Styela clava: one gene and its partner. The protein of the gene in region 1 purifies or fractionates together with the protein of each later gene. This does not show direct contact. Links are inferred from orthologs where the notes say so. Each region holds a gene or a part of one and is shown in the gene's direction. Other genes may lie near its edges.

Region 1 (7,832 bases):
CCTACCGGTGTTCTATTCTGGATATTATTACTGTATATGGTGCGGTACTGTACAGGATTTGACATATTCATATATTAGTCTTCTATAATACGGTACTGTAATAGAATAGGCATGCCTTTTTGCTCCAGGCTGCCAGGTAATAAATCGTGGTTGGCCTGAGTCGGTGGGTCCTTAGACAGTCTGACAAGTCACTGTACAGCTGTAAGAAGTGTGGTCTACTTGCTGACTTGTTAGCTTCCTCGCTTTTGTACATAATAACCCCGTAACATGAGAATCTTTTACCAAAGACTCTAGTCATCTAAATCAGTAAATGAAATGACTCAGACCCCTAGACTCGCATTCAACTAACCACCAACCACTCTGCCAGTGAGACCGAGCTCAGTGAATCGTCTCAGGCTCTGATGGCCCATGACCTAATGAGTCTGCACTTTTAACTAATAAAAACATTCCCTCATTTGCAGACTTGTAGTAGACTGCAGTGAAATAAATGCCGTATTTGTTAGTGAGCACACTGGTTCGATTAGTAAGTATCATCTATTAACCATAATGTTTTTGATCACTTATCGTATTGTATAAAATCTCCTGATACTGAAATATGAAATAAAATCCAGGAAAAAAACAGTTTCAGTAGAAATTTTGAAAATATGATTTCTTTGCCCAATTTAGAATATGATTTAGTCTTAATCAAAATGAAAAATAAATCCCACAATATTAGTTTAAGACGCATATAAACAACATTAACTTTTCCACAAAAATTTGAAAAAATAAAAATTTATTTCAATTATGAACTAGGCATTAGAAGCCAGTCAGGCATCTAAGGGTATAGTGGGTTCAATTGCACTTAAACAATATTTTGTGTTTGGGAAATACAGTTTTATGGTCTGTTGTGTGATTATGCAAACCTAAATCTGAGAAATTGTTGTTGAATTCTTTTATTTCTTGTCTTGATTAATGACATGGTTAAGCAAAATATATTTAATTTCTTGTGTTAGATATGAATAATAGTTAACTTTAGTCTAATTAAAATCAATAAATCTCACTTCTTGGTTGTTTTAGGAAATTGGACCGACAATTGTTGGAGATGAACAGTCTGATCCAGACTTGATGACGAAGATAGGTGCTGTGTTGGGGCAACAGAAAGGATGTCCTTTGTGAGCTAATCTTGTTATGGATGTTTTCGATTTGTACCTTTTTTATTCAATGAGAAACTGTCTGTCAGAATGGATAGTTATTTGTTCCATGCTAGTTTTATATTCTTTGAATTTTTCTGATACTGCAGTAAAAAAAATTTTGATATGTATGTCACAGTGATGTTGTTTGCTAACTTGCAAAATTGGATCTGAGTTAATACAGAAGATAATGCTACTGGTAATCCCACTGGATAGAATAGTAGAATAATATACTATTTTGTGCCATCGCATAGGTTACCAACAACTTGCATTCTGTTTAGTTGCAACCTGTTTGTCTTGATTCTTTATGCCATGTTACATGCAACATACCACATTTTTTAATGTTTTATTGTTTTGAATTGTTTTAGCAAAGAATACACAGTCTCTGACCCTCCTCGAATTGTATTGAACAAATTGGAAAAGTTGGGATATTCTGTAATAAATACAAGCGGCATTGGACAAACTATTGTTTGGACATTACATAAGCCAATTTCTGAGTGATAAATTTCAATGTTTGGGGGATAGATAACTTGATCATGCTGTCTAATTTGATTAGCTGTGAGTGGCTGTATTTCGGTTTACTTACAATCAATTAATTTATGCCATCAACTGTTACATATGTATGCATTTCTCTCGGAGATATCAGTAAATGGCTTTGATTAAAATTGTTTTATTTGTCAAAAATATTTGGATTGTGTGGTACTGATTCAATCATTCATTTTTAAATGTGCAATTGTAATATATGATGTTATGTGCAACAAAAAAAGTGGTAAAATGAGTAGTCTTATGAATTGGTGTGAAAGGTGTGGCTTTTGCATATATATATGGGCTTGTGTCATGGTGGTGTGAACAGAATTTCGTAAATGAACAATACGTGATTGTGAAGGTATGTACGATCGAAAACAGTGGTCATGGCGCAGAAAGCTTTGTCTGAAGTACCGATTACAAGTGGATAAACTAATTATTCACTGAGGTATTTCGTATATATATAAACCCATTGATGGCGGTCGGAAATGAGAATAATAATCAAAAACTAAGATTTTGTGGTGAGAAATGAATTACAATACAATTTTATCTCGATTTTTCGTCTGCAACACCGAACACTAATGGAAAAATAAAAACACAGACAACGGGGCAAATGGGAAAAACCTCCAGAAAGGTTTATAGCGAACGCTGTAACCGGCCGGCATTTATGCCCATTCACCCACACAAGTGGAAAAAACATCGCGACAATCATACTGAAAAAAATAAATGCCATAAATAAACTCGAGAAAATAAAATTCATGGGCGAAGCTTACTTGTGAAGGTATAAATAATTTTGATGAGCGAAAGTGGTGAAGAGTTAAAAAACAAGTAGAAGTTATGTGACGGGACCTGTGCCAAAATACGCGAATCATAACATTAAGTGATTAGCTGCTATTTTTCTTGGCAATCCTTGTAATCCTGAGCATTTGCCAATGATGGTCGGTCGTAAAATTAACTTTGCGAGTAGCGAATTCATTCAGTTATCATTATAAAATTATACAAGGTGGTAATTTATATTGGGTACATTTAATGGACTAACCCTAAAATTAGCGCGAGGCATAGGTTAGTTGCGCTAACTGTTGACACGAACTGATTACCAGACGAGAGATGCGATGAAATCGATATTGGCACTGACGAATTACCAGGTTTAGATCTGACGCGATTTTGGTCCTAGTGGCCACAAAGAACTTTACAGTTAACCAAATGACGTCCAACCAACAAATATATACGAGGAGCTACATATAAACCAAGAACCAGCAAAAACTTATGCTAGCCTTTTACATATTTTTTTACATTATTGTGAGAACTTATGGTCAATACACAAAGCACTAGAAGTTCATCACCTTTGCATCATTGCTGACTTTGCTTGTTAAGGTATCGATGCTCGCATCCCGTAGTCACTGCCTCCGTTTCTCTGTCTTACATTTAATAAACATGTTGGCACTGGATATGATAATTTCATTTTAAGTGATTGTCCGATGTCCCCAAAATGTTTGTTGTGCAGATGCGATTCAAAAATTAATATATTCAATGTTTCAATGCAAATCTCTCGTCAGCAATACACATGCGTGGGTTCGCAGGTAAGTATGAGTTTATTTCGACTCCATAATCAGCATAATAGACGATAATGTAATTGATAAAAACTTATTATTATTAACTTATTATAGAATTGGGAAAGCAAACAAAACCTCTAGTAAGGTTTGGAACGTACAAATTTTAAAGAAAAGGTATTGATAAAGGAAATAGCACGTGTTCGCTCACCCAAAAGTATTAGTGAATTACTCAGTAAAAAAGAAAAATATACAAACGAAATAACTAAATGAAAATCATGAAAATTTTTTTTTTGCCAAACTATAATAATAATTTTATGAGGCTTGCCAACATGAGTTATACATTGTGGATAAAAAAAAATTCCTCAAAAGATATCGTCAAGCTGATTATATTTGGAGTCACCTAATGCCAAATTGCCCAATCAGAATTTTAAGTTGGATGCATGAAGGGATGGGCTAAGCCTCACCAAATTGAAAGCCAAACTAACGTCCAAATCACTTTAAATACTATTAATCAATAAAAGTACCGGTAATTATAATTAAAATTAATTTTAAGGCAGTATGATATCGAGATAGGAAAATCGGTTACAGCAATATATAGGTTATTAAAGGTTCAAGTGAGATTTTTTAAGGTCATGGATTATAGGCAAGGAAATTTAATTGAGGTTGTTGATCACTGGGGTCAGTTCAAGTTCATCAAAGATGATCCATCAGTCTGCAATATTGTTAATGTATAGTGGTATACACATTTTATGTTGAATTAGCGACCTTTTAAATCGATCATCACGACGTTATGAAAAACGAAAAATATATCTGCGAGTACAATATTCAATGATTGCAAATAAGGAAACAATAGAAAACTACCCTACATTTTTGAGAAGATATTGTTGATTTGAATAAATATTGACCAATATTAATAATTTATCATTAGACTACTAGTTGAAAGACCTGAGAAAGAGGAGATTGTAGTTGGGACACAAGAGATTGTTCACAAGCCATGCAAAAACATTTGATGTCGATCAAACCACACTAAGCATTCACATGTTGGCCATTATTTTAACTATACAGCAAATCAGAAAATCTCTGTGTACATACAGGGCACAGTATATAACACTACAGGAAATTAAAAGGTAGGGAGAATCCAAATATAGCTCGACTGATCACCTAATTACAATAATGGATAATAGCATAGGTATTATTAACCACCGAGTCAAAGATAACAGGCAAAATCATACCCAATGAGGACTGGGAAACAGAAGAGAAGCCGCGGTTCGCAATATGAGCAAGCCGTCTTATCGACTTTTCCCCTTCACGGAATAAATAGCCTATGTAAATCCTATCAACCACCAACTAGGCATTTCTATTTTTATCAGGCAGTTGTTCCGGGAGTTAATCCATGTTCGAACAATTGAATATATATATACCTATTATATATAATAGGTAGTAAGCAATTTACAGTATTTACCTTTTCATTCATTTTAATGAATTGGGTTTTCTGTCATCTTCCTTCTTGTTTCCGTGCACTACAGACAGTGACGTTAATCAACTTGCGTGGAAATCGGCCATGCATGAAAATGAGAAAAGACACCTCGTCAGCTTTTATACAATAGGTTGCTTCTGTGTTACGGTACAGAACTTTTTATCGTAGGATTTACGCAAATTTGTCTTCGAGTCTTAGAAACTGTATCCCATGTTTTATTGGAAGTCATATGACTAGATGATTACCAGGCGAAGAATCGGATCTCATGAAAAAAGCTCACCTTCAGGTTAGTGCTGTAGTGAAATCTGTAAATGGCTTCAGTTAATTCACTACCGGTACCGGTACCGTACCGTACCGTACCGTAATTCGCGTTTATTTGAAACTACCTTCAGACCTTTCTGAACTATACCTTTATACACTCTGAATGCCACGGTCTGGGTACCACTCAGATAAATAATACCGTATTCTTTCAAATATCTGCTTGAACTTCTGTGATTACTGGATTACCGGTACTGGATTAAATTATATTTCTGTATTTATTAATTTAATTAAAAATTAATAAAGCTGAAATGTTTAATTGATTAGCATATGGCAGTTAAGATAATCAAAAAGTTTTATCGAAGCTCATTCTTCAGTTTTTTCATTAATAGCGCCAAACACTTTGTCACTTATTGACAAAGCTGCTGAAAACTAGAGCATTTGTTGTTTGGTTATTCTGTTATTACAGTATTATCAGAGCTGTATTAAACTTGTTGCTGATTTTTTATTGTGGAACTGCTATGTAGCTAAGAAACAAGACACTATTCTACTGCCTGATTGCAATACAGAGAGATGGATTGACAAATCTGTGTAAAGAACACTATTTCGAAAAGACTATACACTTGTATTGCAGTATTGATGTGTTCTTAATTTTTGTACCAGCTGTTTGTATGATGATATCCCAACTGACTGAAACTTTGATCATGGCGGTTGCATTGACCATATGACCAATATAGAAGAACTTTATTTGACGAATCAGCTTGCGTTGCAAATTCTGACATATCGAAAAGTACTGTACAGTTGTACAGAAATCCATTATATTCACAGGTGGTTGGTCTTTTTCACAACTTCCTTCACTCTCATCAACGAGAATACTTTTCAACGGAACTGAAAGTAACGAGGTTTCTTCTGGTCAATTGGAAGAAGACAATTCAAGCCAATCAGCAGATTTAATGACAAGCATGAATTCCGCGTGCCGCGACCGGACTGTAGAATTTCAATCTGTTGTGAAGTCATTAAAATCGAGACAGGTATTCAAGAACCAAATATTAAATTTACTTGAAAATCATGAGGAATTTCCATATCAAATTAATATTTGCCTAATATAGAATGTCATGTGATGGTATAAGACATTGACTCGTTATTTCGCAGTTTGGCAGAGGATCATATTGCCATACATTCAAATTTTGTTAAATGTGACAGAGCTGTGTTGTACCTTGACCCATATTTGCTCTATGTGTACATATTTTTATGAATTCTATGTACGTTATTGTATTTTCAGTCTAATGGTGGGGTTCCACATAAAGCACAAAACAATGCTCTGAAAAATAGAAGTGAATTTTCTACATTTGCCAAGTAAGCATAATATGTACTTAACGCACTTTTCAATATATATGATTTTTGATTTCGAAATACTCTGAATATTTCTAGTATACTGCAATAAAGTAATTTCAGACAACTTTTTCCTTGGAGAAAAAATTAAATTACATTATATCAGAAGTGTCAATGCTGTTCTTTACTTTGCAGCATTCAATGCTGTTCTATACTTTGCAGTACTTCACTAACTATTTGTTTTTCAGTTTAATGCTTCTCTATTTGTTTTATTGTGGAATTAGATTTGTTGAATTGTTATATATATATAATATATACCCCATTTAAGTTATAAATTAACTGTTGATGAAAGCAATGAATATGCATAGAGCACAGTTATTTAATTGATTTAATAATTGTCGTCAAGTAAGTGGCAGAAATACATATTGCATATTTTTATTCAGGCGAATTGGCAGAGATATAAGTAAGACATATGAAAAATTAGAAAAACTAACTTTGTGTAAGTATGAAATTTATACTGATTGTGTCTGGTAAATCAAAAGTCATATTATGTTATTATGTTATGCATATCTTTTGATTTGTTTTTATTTTAGTTGACTACTTCATCATAATCACTATTGCCGAATTTTTTATTTTACTCAAATTCTTATTTTTTGAAAAATAGTAATTGGATTTTTGTTTATATGATATATTTTCATATAGTCGTTATGAGACTTGATAAAAAATATTTCTCATCGGTTACTTCTTTTTTATAGTATGTAAAAAACGTTCACTGTTCGATGATCGACCTGTTGAAATCCAGGAGTTGACATATATTATTAAACAAGACATCACTTCGTTGAAGAAACAAATTGCTCAACTGGAGCAGGTAGTTTCTGCAAGGTCTAGTGGCCATAAAGATATTCAAAAACATTCGTCATCTATTGTTCGCACATTAAGGGTGAGTTTTATGTCAATTTTATTGAAATTTTTCAACGTTATTGTTGTAGCTATATGAAACAAGATAGCTGAAATTAAATATTATTCATTTCAGTCCAAACTTGCTTCAATGTCTGATAATTTCAAATCTGTCCTTGAAGTTCGACGTGAAAATATGAAGCAACAGAAATTGCGTAAAGATCAGTTCAGTACTACTAATTTATCATCAAGTATGCCGCCATCTGCTATGCAGGGGAATCGTAAGTTGACAATTACAAAATTTGTTTTGATGGATATATATGGCACTTTTAGGTATAGAAACAGACCTACCTGTTTATTTCAACAGCACTCTATATTTCGTATTGTTATTACCATGACTGTGTTGTTTTAGGAGGTTCAGTTTTAATAATGGATGAACAAAGGAATTCTTCTGGAGATGTTTCAATATCAATGGATGGTTCATCGCCATCAACTTCACAAGATACAATGCAACTGCTTGATCAACAAGTATGTTAAAATATGAATTGATATATGTACGTTTCACATTAATTAAGCTGTTTCTTTTGGTTTTCCAATCTTTCAACCAAGAACATGTGCCTC
Region 2 (6,527 bases), on another chromosome or scaffold:
GTATCCTCGCCTTAAAATTTTGGCCCGCGACTAAATAGGTTTGGGAACCCCTGGTTTATGGGAATCAAGTCTAAAAGATCCGTATGGAATACTCTTGAAAATGACCACGCCTACCCTCTTAGATAAGGCATATATATTAGTCAGAAAATTTCAGAAACAAGCTTAGTTCAGTACAAAGCGTATATATAATATAATGGTTCAGTATGGACTAGTGACTGATAGCTCTGGCCAATGAGCATGCTTATTGGTCTGGCTAACCATGTTGAAATCATAAGGCGGAGATCGCGGGTGTAAGGAAACGAAAGTCAACCATCTCATTCGGGATGTATTATCGACTTTAATCTCCTTTTTGTGATAAAAACACATTTAATAAACATAATTGATTATACATACGACACGATTGCACTTTGTAGCAGGAATAATTTATGACTATGCATAATAATGTATCGCGGAACGGAAAAATTTGATATGATTGGAACAGAAAAACAATAACATATATTTTCATATTATTGGACTGTAAAGTAGAATCACAACTTCAATCAAGTTTTTTTTTCTCTTTTTCGTCCAATGTGTCGGGTTCATCATATTAATATATCTGCGGTTATTCGACGCCTCAAAAAAAAATTACATTATGACAAAGTCGTCGTTAACGTAACCGTCACCAAGCTCAAATCCTGCTGTGCCTCACCTGGAAAAGATCTCAGCGGCCCATGCTTTTGTTGCACGTCTTTTGACCACCTGCAGGGTCGCAATAGGTTCATATCTTACTGAATGTCATGGCGAAGAAGTATGAATCACCTTATATTTGGATGGTCATGTTAATCACTAAAAGTATGTAGAACAGAAAAAGCACGCGTCTCCGGTTTGGCAGAAAAACAACAGCATTTCTCGCGAACCGACAAAAAAACTTCGCAGACCGGCCGTTAGAAATCACTGCTTTAGAATTTGTACGAAATGGGAATACGCTTGACATCGCACCTCTGGTCGCTCTGCCTGGGTTCGAAACTGATACTGATTATTTATCCCCAGGAAAAGGCGAACTAGGACCACCTGTCAGTCCGACGACTCCAATCACCCCTCGCCTTGGAAACGCTGTTGATTTTGCGTATGGTGATGTGTTGCTGCCTCGCTGGTGAATTAGTTCTTTCCAAAGTCAGAAAGTGTATTTTTTGTTGAGATATTCGCTATCATGTGGGATTAAAAGCACCACAGTTAGAAGATGAGCCATTCTATCCAAACTTCTCGCAAAGGCTCTAGTATTTACGAAAATATGACCAGCAGATCTTCTAGCGGCTTCGGCGAGGATAATTTTAGTTTACGACCTGATACGGCACCTGGTAACCCGAGAGATCAGATTTTACCGATTTCTCCTTTAGCCATAAATGAGAGGTCGAAATCGGCGCCGAGAAATATGCGAATGACAACCAGATATGGTTCAGAGGGTCATGTTAAATTGTCATCTCGTGAAATTCTCGAAAGTGGAAGCCCTGTTAACCGGCAAGAACGGCCAAAAACGGTTGAACCGGAAGTCCAGGAGACGTTACAAAAAGAACAACCCTGGTACATGGCTATGCTAAGAGAAAAAGAAGAACGCCTTCTACAAATGGGCGATGAGATTAACCGCTTGAGTGCTTTCGAAATTGATTCTAAACAAAAAGATAACGAAATATTTGACCTTAGAAGACAGTTGGCACAAAATGTTGTCATAAAAACGACTCAAGAAACGGAATTAGAGGCAATTGTGGCGGATCTGCGTAAGAGAACGCAAATTTTGACGGACGAAATTGTTCGTCTTGGACCATTTGAAGAAGAATGCAAAAAGAATGATAAGATTATTTCTCAATTCCAAGAAAAAATTGAATTCTTAGAAAGAGAATCGCAGCAGAAATCTCGCTCAAGTACGCCATCTAGTGGAGCAAAAAAGCCTTTGATTTATGTTGACGAAACAAGCACAACAATTTCTGAACCAGAGGGTTCTTTCCAAAAAAATCCACAAGAATATGACGAAAAAGTCGAAAGTGTTCGCGAGTCGTTACGAAGCGCTAATGCTGATGCAGACGCTTTACGAGAACAATTCGACAAGATGGCTCCCGAGAAATTAACCCCTGAAGACGAGGTCATGGCTATGAGAGAAGAGCTTGTTAAAAGAGAGCAAATAATTTCTGAGTTGCAAGATCGTCTTGAAACGTCGCAAAAAGAATTGGTTATGAATGACGGCTTCATAAACGCTTTACAGCGTGATTTAGAAAGCACTGAAAACAAAGTAATGAAATTGACATCCCAAGTTGAGAAAGCCGAATTTCAGATGAACGAAGCTTTAGCAGAGGCTAGGACAATGTCGAAAAAGTTCTCTGACTTGCGGGAAAGAAGAAAACACAGCGATATGAATGCTGAAACTGAACATGAGTTGACAATCCTGAAGAACGCTTTTAATGAGATTCAACAAAAAGCTGACAAATTGAAGGAAAAGTCTGACAAACAGAGCAAAGAAATTAGGGAGAGTCACAAAAAAATTAAAAAAGGTGGCGAGCTAGATAAAAAACAGTCGGAGGAGATCAAACACCTATGTCGTGATTTGGAAGATATGCGACGTCTGGAGCAATTATCTCGAGTTTCCGCTGAGCAAATGTCGACAAGATTCGAACGTCTTCGCTCTCGAATTATTCAAGCTGTATTTATCACACCTGGAGCGGCTCATCCAAGCACAGCGATTAGCGACATTGTAGTTTTTAACGCTGTGAAAAAGATAATCGAGGATAGAAGTGAATTTCATAAGTTATTAGAAGAAACGAACGCAGATTTTCCACCGTTATTAGTCGAGCTCGACGCAACTTTGGAAGAAGAAAAAATCGAAGAAAGTAGCGCTACTACCGCAACGAGTCAGCAAGAACGAAAATCTGGGAAAGGAGGAAGAAAATCTCCGAAGCACAGATAGTTATTTTTTGCACAATTTTAATTTTTTTATATCACATATTATACAGGGTATTCATAAAGTTCTAAATTTTTTCTCAAATTGTAAGGTAATTTATCTATACCATAAATATTTAATGGCCATTATGTATTAATTAATAAATGAACAAGCATTGATTCGGATAAAACAAACCTGGTTAAGGTATATTGAGAACTGACTTCATAACAAAATTTAGAAATTGTGTGAATAGAAATTTATTGATACTATATTATAGTTTGTTTTCCTCTACAGGTGTATTGAATGATGTAAGAAATTTAAATAAACGCTGATTAAAATAAACGAATCTTGAGACCAGACTTTATAATTGTAATGATGTAGACTTTATGAACGCCCTGTATTTATATCATATTAGATATAGGTTTTACACCTCATTTCATGTACAAATTTATGGTAGTAGCAGAATCCTAATTGTAATAAAAGACTGTTGAATCACTGTATTTATTACCCCAAATCAATTTTATTTTTTTCTAATTTAGCCACTGTAGTAGTTCCAATGTCCACTGTTGAATAATTTTATGATAATTAATTTAATAATGATTTTTATGGTAGAGTTTAGTAACATATTTTTTTGATTGAAGCAAGGGTGCCTTTTAACAACATTGTGAAAATATTGGCGTTTCACTTTTTATCATATATCCAAGTCCATGGAACCAGAATCAGATAATCAACTTTCTAGCTATGGCTATTCCCATAGAATGTTCTGTCTATATATCTTTCATTGCTGTTTGGGTTCAAGTAACAAAGCATTGCAGTGAGAATTTTATCCTACATAGGATTATTGTGTCAATAATATATGCTATCTTGTGTTTAACTAATGAAGCATGACAGTCAGAATTTTATTACTTTGTTTCAATTAGGCATATTCTGTCAAAGTCATGCTCCATTGCTTTTAAGGTTCAAGTAATGAGGCATGGCAGTCAGAACTTTATCCATCTGTTCTAAATAGGATGATTTTGTCAATATATGCTCAATTGCTCCTTGGGTTTAACCAATGAGGCGGGCAGTCAGAATTTTACCCACCCGGTTCAAATGGGACTATTCTGTTAAAGTTATACTTCATTGATTTTGTGGTTTATTTCAATGCATTTTGCCATCAAGTTCAAAAATAATAACATCAAAGGTAGTTAGTATGCATTGCTGGTTGGACACATTTCACTGTGATTTGTAGCCGTCCACTGTTAGTTGGTATATTACTTGAAAACTTGAATGTATTTTGTGAAAATTGAATTTTCTTGTCACTAAATTGTTCCTAATGAGTTATTATAAGCTGGGGGAGTGTTACATATAAAATTTGATATTTTGGGTGAAAATTTTGAGTTTTTATACTTATGTTACTACCCATATATCCTCGAATATAAGCCGGCCCCCTAAAGTGGTTGAATCATCAAAATTCACATTAAAACTGGCCCTTTAAATCATAACACGCTGCACGCACCTATCACAGCAAAGGTTGCTTTAGTGCGATCAGAGCTATGGTCGTATAAGCCGCCCCGTAAGTTTGGCAACTTTTTTTTTAGTTATCTTGGCTTATATGGGAGGATATATGGTAATTAAATTTTTTAGGCATTCTGGTTAGCGAAAAGTTTTCGTAAAATGCACCATTTTTTTTAATTGTGATTCTACTTATAGCTGCACTTTTTTTTGAGAATCTGCGCGATGTACATATAATTTGATTTCAAATAGTTTGTATAATGAAATGTATTTTTTTAGAATTTTAGATTTATCTTGTTACAGAAATAAGATAGCCAACGCTGTGATTCTGATTGTGGAACTGTTGCTATTTATCCCTATGTGAGGCTGACGACTGGAAAAGACTGTATACTTCATTATTGTAGTACACAAATTGGGATATTATCATACTTCTGTTTTATTGTTTGCGAATTTCTACCGGGTGACTCCATATTTTGAATATTGGTGGTCTCTACATCGGAACAATTTTTGAAATTTTTGATGAGAAAAATGACGAACCAATGGGAGGACCTAAGGAAACAAGCTCGCCGACTTGAGAACGAACTCGACCTAAAACTAGTCTCGTTTAGCAAACTCGGGACAAGTTATAGCAGCCACGCAAGCGACCATACACCTCTTCTTGGGAATTCGAGCAGCGAACGAATGTTTGAAACCATGGCGATGGAAATCGAACAACTTCTGGCGAAATTAACGGGCGTAAACGACATGATGGCCAATCACAGCGAAGCAATTAACGGTCCAAGTTCTGCAATGCATACTCTACAACGACACAGGGACATACTTCAAGACTACACTCATGAATTTGCCAAGACCAAGAGCAATATCGTCGCTCATCGTGAAAGGGAGGATTTAATCGGATCAGTTCGACGTGATATCGACGCTTACAAAAGCGGAAGCGGAGCTAATAGTCGACGTACCGATCTTTATCTAAAAGAAAACGAACATTTAAGGAACTCTGATCGCCTTGCCAGCGAGGCAATCGACATCGCCATGGCAACGAAAGAAAATTTGGGAACGCAGCGAAAAATTTTCAAAAATATGACAACGAGATTGAATAACCTTGCTAATCGGTTCCCCGCTCTTAATAGTCTCGTTCGACGAATTAAAATGAGGAAGCAAAGGGACTCGCTTATCATGGCTTCCGTTGTGTCCATCTGTATTATACTCATTCTGATATACTGGTTACATTAGCTGATTTAAGAAGAGCATTCTAAATATTATTTCTGACTTTTACAACTAGGGATGTGGGCTCAGGAGTTTGCAGATCTGCAGACAAATAAGAAGCACTTGCATGTGCTAAATCAGGGGTGTGCTACCTGCGGCCTTCAATAAAACATTGTGCGCCCCGCGAATTTTTTTTTTGCCTGCAACTATGAGATAGCCATTATTGAATAAAAGTTGGGTCCCTGCGGTTCCACCCAGTTATTTATATCTGGCTTATTATGGTGTGATTTTTGGGTCTTGGGAATATGATTGATACTGCTTGATAACCAGTGTTAGTTTTCTTTCACCCTAAAATTCTGTTTTATTTTCTATGTTATGGCCATACAGAGTATTTTCAATATGGTGAATAATAAACTGTATGTCATTGCATATAAGATGATCTCGCATATAATTCGACAGTCCTAAAATGGTGAATTTATAAATATTAGCATATAAGGCGCCCCTACAAATCATAACACGTTGTACGCACCTATCAAAGCAAATGGGGACAGAAAGGAATTAGTGAAATTTTGTGTTAAGTCGTATAAGTTAAATTTTATATAGTGCGATCAGAGTTATGCATGTATATGCTGCATTTTTAGTTTTCAACTTGGCTTATATGCGAGGATATATGGGTAATGATTGTCATGCCAAGCACGCTCTATTTTATGAGCTACATTCAGTCATTCTGGTAAGACTCCCGTTATGAATTTTCTTTAAATGTACATTGAAGTCGAAGAAATATTGATATTTTTTTTTCAAATTTTAGAATAGATGATTATTAATGATTTTTGGTCGTTCTTGGTTTGATCTTGCAAATCTAGGCAGTGTAATCAGATTCACGCACTTTCTGTCTCACAGACTTTTCCGACCTTAAAGCAGC

Evidence for each region.
Region 2: the proteins of syntaxin-5-like (region 1) and Golgi SNAP receptor complex member 1-like purify together in Homo sapiens (affinity purification with western blotting; 3 studies listed by BioGRID, with this or other methods). This does not show direct contact. The link is inferred for Styela clava from reciprocal best matches to the Homo sapiens genes STX5 and GOSR1.

What each region holds. Positions count from the first base shown.
Region 1 is NC_135253.1:7,448,620-7,456,451, reverse strand, and holds the start of syntaxin-5-like, read left to right. Parts: upstream 1-4,810; 5' UTR 4,811-4,961; coding exon 4,962-5,010; intron 5,011-5,810; coding exon 5,811-6,013; intron 6,014-6,264; coding exon 6,265-6,338; intron 6,339-6,757; coding exon 6,758-6,813; intron 6,814-7,069; coding exon 7,070-7,254; intron 7,255-7,347; coding exon 7,348-7,492; intron 7,493-7,623; coding exon 7,624-7,739; intron 7,740-7,832. Other genes in the region: GTP cyclohydrolase 1 feedback regulatory protein-like, read left to right, coding at 488-523, 1,057-1,151, 1,538-1,670. UniProt on the Homo sapiens protein: Mediates endoplasmic reticulum to Golgi transport.
Region 2 is NC_135255.1:20,539,352-20,545,878, reverse strand, and holds Golgi SNAP receptor complex member 1-like, read left to right. Parts: upstream 1-4,051; 5' UTR 4,052-4,921; coding exon 4,922-5,632; 3' UTR 5,633-6,019; downstream 6,020-6,527. Other genes in the region: coiled-coil domain-containing protein 27-like, read left to right, coding at 1,220-2,935. UniProt on the Homo sapiens protein: Involved in transport from the ER to the Golgi apparatus as well as in intra-Golgi transport. It belongs to a super-family of proteins called t-SNAREs or soluble NSF (N-ethylmaleimide-sensitive factor) attachment protein receptor.